2 linked regions of the Tribolium castaneum genome follow. The protein of the gene in region 1 purifies or fractionates together with the protein of each later gene. This does not show direct contact. Links are inferred from orthologs where the notes say so. Each region holds a gene or a part of one and is shown in the gene's direction. Other genes may lie near its edges. The genes, in order: probable 18S rRNA (guanine-N(7))-methyltransferase and Trmt112.

Region 1 (4,383 bases):
AGCCACAATATACAGGGTGTTTAAAAAATAAATAAAAATCAACGGCTACTTACCCCATATCGGCCAGCAACTCGTACAATTTCTTGCTCCCTCTATGCGACCACAACTTCAATTTGCACGCCGTAAACATTGAATACTTAAGACTAGACTCAACCGACCAATGTCTGTACAGAACTAATTTCAAATCGTTCTCATATGTGATTCTAAGTGAAGTTAAACCGTCGGTATCATTCGATCTGTTCCTTAATCGGTTTGAATGCGACTGTAATTCCCCAACTGCAAGAACATATTGCGAATTTTCAATTTTGCCTAAAATGTACTGTTCTGTCAGCGCCACGATTGCCAACCAAAGCAAGTCCTTATCGTCCTTATTCAAAAACCACGCGAGTTTAAACATCGCGATCGCGCTCTGGAGAAAAAATCAGTGTCACCAACTTAATTTCAAAATCGACTAAAAACTTACAGCCTTGTTGTAGTACGTGTATTGCGAGTATTCCGCAATGATATCGAAACGTTTCGCTTCCCAAAGCCTGCGTTCGCGTCGTTTTAGAATCGCTTCTTCGTTCAATCTCCGTTTTTTGGCAGCTCTTCCCTCATCTTCGTCCCCACTTTCGGGTTCTTCGTCGCTTTCTTCATCGCTCTGTAATCACACGATAAAAAAATCGACCGTAAGAAGGGGGCCACTGACATCGTCACGATAAACTGCGTGAAAGTCGGGCACTTCTAAGTCCTCCTCTGAGGTCCACAACAACCGGACCTGCCCGTCACTGTAAATGTTATCCAAATGTGTGGGCCTGTGCGAGTCGATGATGAAAAAAATCGCGTCTTCTTCCGGCTCGAACAAGTCGACTAGGTTCACAGTGCCCCCACAATTAATCAAGACGAAATATTTAACGTCGTTGCTGTTTTCACGATACGAGCGCTTCAGGTCCTCGACGCCTCGGATTACGGCAAGGGTGTAGAGAATCTCCTTGTACTTTAGGAGGTTTTGGAGGATTTTACACGCACAAATGCTGTCGATGTCGTAGTGGACCATTAACAAAATGCGCTAAAAGGGGCAGCTAAGTGGGCGACAATTAAAAGGGGGACTTACTTTGCCTGTGAGAAATTCGTAAAAATCCAATTTTAAATTCTCAACGTACATTTTAAACACAATTTGAAATCCGACAATGGGGCATCATAACCTCCAAAGCGCCAAAACAAACCGTTGGTGGGCAAGGTGGAGGGGCAGCCGTACCAACATAAAACTATTTTTGCGTTTCTAATTTATTTAGACGAATGGAATTGAACGCTATTCAATTACTATCACCCAAAATACCATGAGTAACACAATAGATGGCAGATTGTAATTACTACACAAACGTTCGGGTCGGAGTTCGTGAAATTAAAACAGACAAATTCCCTAGTGGTCATTTTCACCCTAACTAACCTCAATTCTGATTACTTTTTAATCCTAAGATAGCACATGTGTTGTTATTGTTTTGGTCCTAAATAAACACCAATGTCGCGTCCTGAGCACTTGGCGCCACCCGAAATCGTAAGTACGCCCCCAATTCTGACCCTAAACCTAACCTAACTTTTAGTTTTACAACGAAGATGAGGCCCGGAAGTACACTCAAAAGTATAGAAACGGCCGCTTTTTTGCAATTTTTACTCATTGTGACTCGTTTTAGTTCTCGAATTATTGATATTCAAATGCAGATGAGTGAGCGTGCAGTTGAGCTCCTTTTGTTGCCTGAAGACCAGCCGTGTTATTTGCTTGATATAGGTTGCGGGTCGGGGCTTAGCGGGAGCGTCCTTGAGGATCAGGGGCACTTCTGGGTCGGTATGGACATATCCAAGGCCATGTTAGATGTGGCCCTTGAAAGGGAGGTCGAGGGGGACGTTTTGTTGTCAGACATGGGGCAAGGGTGCCCCTTTCGGGCCGGGTCGTTCGATGGCGCGATTAGCATAAGCGCGTTGCAGTGGTTGTGCAATGCTGATAAAAAGTCGCACAATCCCGTTCAAAGGATTTACAAGTTTTTTAGCAGTCTTTATGCGTGTCTGGTTTGTGTTTGGTTAATTGTGAGAGGTTTTTTGTCATGTTGGGGTTCTAGAGCCGGTCAGCACGGGCCGTTTTTCAGTTTTATCCCGAAAATAGCGAACAAATGGAGTTGGTTACGGCACAAGCAATGAAAGCGGGGTTTTATGGCGGGGTTGTTGTTGATTTTCCGAATTCAACTAAAGCGAAAAAGTTTTTTTTGGTCTTGATGACAGGGGGAAATATGCCGTTGCCGAAGGGATTGGGGACAGAGGAGGAATCACAAGGTGGGTTACAGAATTAATTTTGGTTAAAAGTGGAATGGTTATGGAAAAAAAAAGGTTTTCAGCAGGATTCGAACCTGCGATTTTTAGAGTTTCTGATTTATATTGGCTTCTTTTTGCCTCCAACACTCGTGAGATTTTTTTATAAATAAACAAACTAATAAAAAATCAGATTGGAATTTCAACTTGTCCAATTGACTAACAATTCCAAAAAAAAAAACACGTAAAAAAGTAAATGTCTGAGTTGTTAGCGATAATAAAGCACTTGAAATTAGTTGTATAAGCTGTTTCAAAACTATAAAAAGGCCAACGTCGCATTTTACCAAATAATTTTTTCAAATAAGATTGATAAAATTGTAAAATAGTTATTAATGGTTTGGTGTGTGATTGAAAGTGTAAATTACATAAGCTATTATTTTTTTGAAGTGCATTATTAATTTATAACAGCTAATTTTGAGAAAAAATGCGACGTTGGCGTTTTTATTGTTTTGAAACAGCTAATAGTCACAGTTATTAAAAAAAGTTCTCAGCACAGGGTTTGAACCTGTGATTTTTGTTTTTGTATTTTATTAGTTTCTTTTTGCCTCCAACACTCATGAGAATTAAATTTTATCAAGAAACAACCTAATTAAAAAAACAGACTGGAATACGAACTTGTCCAATTAATTAACAATTCCAAAAAAAAAATTTTTTAAACAGGTAAAAAAAGTAAAAGTTTGAGTTGTTATAATAATAATTTTGATTGAAATTGATATAAAACACCGATAGTAAAGCACTTGGATTTGTTGTAGACACAGTTATTGAAAAAAAAAGTTCTCAGCGGGATTCGAACCTGGGATTTTTTTGATTTTCTTATTTATATTGGCTTTTTTATGCCTCCTACACCTATAAGAATTAAGTTTCGTCAAGAAACACGCTAATTAAAAAAATCAGTCTGGAATTACAACTTGTCTAATTAATTAACAATTCCAAAAAAATTGAAAAAACAGGTAAAAAAGTCAAAATTTGAGTTGTTTTTTTTAAATTTAGGGATCAAATACCCTAACTACTGCTACTTGTTAAAATAAAATTTTATGAAATAAAAATAACAAATTTAAAAATTTAAATAAATTTGCAGCAATGAAATAACGTCAATTTCACTTTCTCTTCGTTTTTTTGGCAAAATTTTGCAAAATAAACGAATCTCTGGTTTAACAGAGAATCAAGTTCAGTGAAACAAGCTAAAATAACGTCAGTTTCGCTCCAATTCGATGATTTTTCAACCAATTTTTGCAAAAAAACCTAGTCTTGTTACGATTAAACATACATTAGAAATTGACCAAAGATAAGAAACAGGAATTCATTGCGTTTCTAAGATTGGTACCCCTTTCAAAGATTTTATTCAAATTTGGAAAGTTGTCATTAAGTTAAAAAAATCTTGTGTTGGAATTAAAAAACAAAATACTAACAGAAAAGTAATTCATAGGTGATCAAAAGCAACACAATTTCTTTTCCAAACATTTTTATTTTTCATCAGGTAAAACAAAATTTCCAGTCGCTTGTTTTATCAACAGAGTTCAGACTTGAAACAAATAAAATAAATCTAATTTAAGTTTGACCTTTACATTTTTAGTTTGGAAATTATTGAAGAAACAGGTAAAAAAGTCAAAATTTGAGTTGTTTTTTTTAAATTTAGGGATCACATATCCTAACTACTGCTACTTGTTAAATTAAAATAAAAATAAAAATAACAAATAAATTTAAAAATTGACTAGAACGCTTCTTTATATTGAAAAAATAAACAAATTTTATTTTTAGAATGGTTTAGATTTTAGAAACGCACGCATTCGGTTTTGTCATTTTTTAAGTTTTCTGAATTAGTTAACAGAAAAAAAAATTGTTGAACCGTGTGCCGTCACCGGGGCTCGAACCCACTTCCCCCTACTTTGAACAATTCCGATTAATTCAGTGATAATTTTTTTACACTACTAAACATAAATTAAATCATTAATCATTTGAAATATGTGATTTGTGTGGATTACGCTGCTGCAAAATAATTTAGTAAATTTTTACATGTAAAATGTTAATAAAAAAAACAAA
Region 2 (2,694 bases), on another chromosome or scaffold:
TTGTTATTACTCCCTGAAGATGCGGGAAAGTAACGAAGTCAGTTAAAAAAGAAACATTGGTTGTGTTTTTTTCCTCGAGATTAATTCTTTTATTTTGTTTTTTGAGAATAGACTTTATTTTGTTTTTTTGAGAATAGACTTTATTTATTTTTTTTTTGAGAATAGATTTTATTTTTTGTTTATTACTAATCTGTTTTGCCAAATAAAGAAAATAATAGAAAATTGTCTTGTTTTACTGTTTACTGACTACAATTTCTGATGGTAAAAGAACTTACTTAATTAATAATGATATGTATTTAGTAATAGAACATTTTTGATTCATTTTTCTCTTCTTGAGAACAAATAAATGCTACCAAATTTTGACGTAAAAAATAGTGTAATTTTTCGGTAATTTATTTGGATTGATGACGTAGAAAATGTGCAAAAACTACGCGTCGTTATACTGTAGAACGACGTTTCAATATCTACGTCACAACCCTGACTACAACCTACCAGGGCCTGCTTTTTTGAACAATTTTTTTAAAGTAATGTGAATCAAGTGGTAATAATTGTCAAATAAACAAAGCCAACTGTTTATTGCCAAAACTCAAGACAAGCGACTTGATGATGATGTTGATGACTCACCCTGTGTACGGAACGCTTTCCTACCTTCCTATTATTATGAATTTGTGCCGCTTTTTGGTGTCTGATAGTACACGTGTGTTTGAGGAGACTCAACCGATGGGCATGGAGCGTTTTCTGACAGTAGGTGCAATAGGCCCGCGTGGGTTCCCCAACGACTCCTCTAAGCCAACCTTCGAAAAATTCGTCAAGTCCTCGACAAAAACCCCCAATTCTCACCTTTAAAATCGGGCATTTGCTCCCATGCTGGGCGATACGTCTGTTTGTAATATTTTCCTCTAACGATATTCGAACTGCTGTTTGATAGACTCAATGTGGCGTAAGAAACCGACGAGTCGTCTAAATGCACCGGAATTTCGGCCAATTCTTGCGAATCTTGAGACTCTTCTTCAACTTCTTGAATTTGCTCACTCTCTTCGCTTTCCATTTCACGCGCCAACAGCAAACGGTTATTTTTCTAAGTTACTAAAAAGCCGAAATATAACTAACTGCAATATGGCGACGAGTTGGGGATTTAGCGTTGGGATGCACCGGAAATACCTCAACCAAGTACCACAAAACCACAACTATTTCTCACCCAACTGGGCAAAAAACGGCCCCCATTGATAAAACTTACCAAAAATTAATCACAAATTTCAAAAAAATAACTACGGCGGTTCAAAAATCTTGATTCAATTGTTTGTACGGTTAAATAGTTGTTAAAGAGTCACCAAGTTCCGTTCGAAGCGAGGCGCGAAATTTGAACCAAAAGCTCATTGTAAATCAATCAGTGATGGGGTAAGCATCCAAGAGCGCAAAAAGTGTCTCACGCGAAAAACTGGCCGATTTAAACAATTAATTGTCCACTGGTGTGAAAAATACACGTAAATACACAAAAATCGGAAAATGAAATTGTTAACCCACAACATGCTAACCTCCAAATGCATGAAAGTCGTGACTGTGGGGTACCCGCTTGGTATTAACGTGAGTACTTTACGTTTTTAATACAATTCAGGCGAAAAACGCCCCTAAAATCGGCTAAATCCGACTTGTGTTGTTTGAGGTTATGTCAATTTTTTTCCCAAAATTTCAGGCTTCGGACGTGCGAGTGTCCGAAGTGGACTTCAACCCGGACTTCGTGGCCAAAATCATCCCAAAAGTGGACTGGAACGTGCTCTACAATGCAGCCCAAAGCATAGGCCAACTGGAGGGGCTCCCGAAGGACGTGGTCGAAAATTACGAAAACGACCACGAGTTCCTGAAAAAAGCCCATCACGCCTTGCTGGAGATCGATATAATCAACGGCGAGCTGATCTGTCCCGAAACCGGACGGAAGTTTCCCATAAATAACGGGATCCCGAATTTGTTGCTGAATGAGGACGAGGTGTAAATAAAACAGTGATAGTAACCATGAAGGCATTTTATTTTGAGACACAGTACAATTGAAAGCGTTTGACATTGTACAGCTACCAAGAAAATACGAAAATTGCACACTTTATCTAACAGCGTGTAAATATGTCTTGTCAATTTTTACAGTACAAAAATATTTGGGGTACATTAGGGGACTTGAAATCGTGATATAGCTGGATATGTGGGGGCACAGGTATTTCAAGTGGGCGGCATAAGTTACAAGCCACAGCCTTCCAAAAAATAGGATGCGTTTCTGGATCACTACATTGCTCCGAGTGTTTATTAAAAAAAACGTGCAAGAGTGCTGTGATTTCGGGAAACTATGGATATCTAGAAATGACGTACAAATAAAACGTTCCCGTCCTCGATAGTTCCGTTAACGTCGCCAGAGAGCGTAGTTAAAATGGTTGTCTGTCCCATATTTTTTTGGGTTAAAAAAATCGTCTCCTAACTTATAGTCCTCCGTATTCATACAACACTCTTGATGCACGTTCTTTTGTGAACACTGTACAAGTAACAAAATCTTTGGTTGTGAAATTGCAGATCAATCTGAATAATTCGATGCCAATATCCTCAAGCTTTGCCGTTTTTTTTTAAACACTGCATGCACACTTATTTACAACGACTTAAATAATAGTACACATGAACTGCTACTTTCCCCGAGACTCGCCCCCAACTGCGACA

Evidence for each region.
Region 2: the proteins of probable 18S rRNA (guanine-N(7))-methyltransferase (region 1) and Trmt112 purify together in Homo sapiens (affinity purification with mass spectrometry; 5 studies listed by BioGRID and IntAct, counting the BioPlex papers as one, with this or other methods). This does not show direct contact. The link is inferred for Tribolium castaneum from reciprocal best matches to the Homo sapiens genes BUD23 and TRMT112.

What each region holds. Positions count from the first base shown.
Region 1 is NC_087401.1:7,779,480-7,783,862, forward strand, and holds the start of probable 18S rRNA (guanine-N(7))-methyltransferase, read left to right. Parts: upstream 1-1,358; 5' UTR 1,359-1,501; coding exon 1,502-1,537; intron 1,538-1,583; coding exon 1,584-1,621; intron 1,622-1,673; coding exon 1,674-2,046; intron 2,047-2,096; coding exon 2,097-2,307; intron 2,308-4,383. Other genes in the region: Cdc45 (cell division control protein 45 homolog), read right to left, coding at 54-409, 464-640, 689-1,048, 1,094-1,144.
Region 2 is NC_087394.1:6,130,889-6,133,582, reverse strand, and holds Trmt112 (multifunctional methyltransferase subunit TRM112-like protein), read left to right. Parts: upstream 1-1,337; 5' UTR 1,338-1,506; coding exon 1,507-1,584; intron 1,585-1,693; coding exon 1,694-1,990; 3' UTR 1,991-2,011; downstream 2,012-2,694. Other genes in the region: uncharacterized protein LOC655985, read right to left, coding at 625-794, 841-1,048; uncharacterized protein LOC656340, read right to left, coding at 2,661-2,694. UniProt on the Homo sapiens protein: Acts as an activator of both rRNA/tRNA and protein methyltransferases. Together with methyltransferase BUD23, methylates the N(7) position of a guanine in 18S rRNA.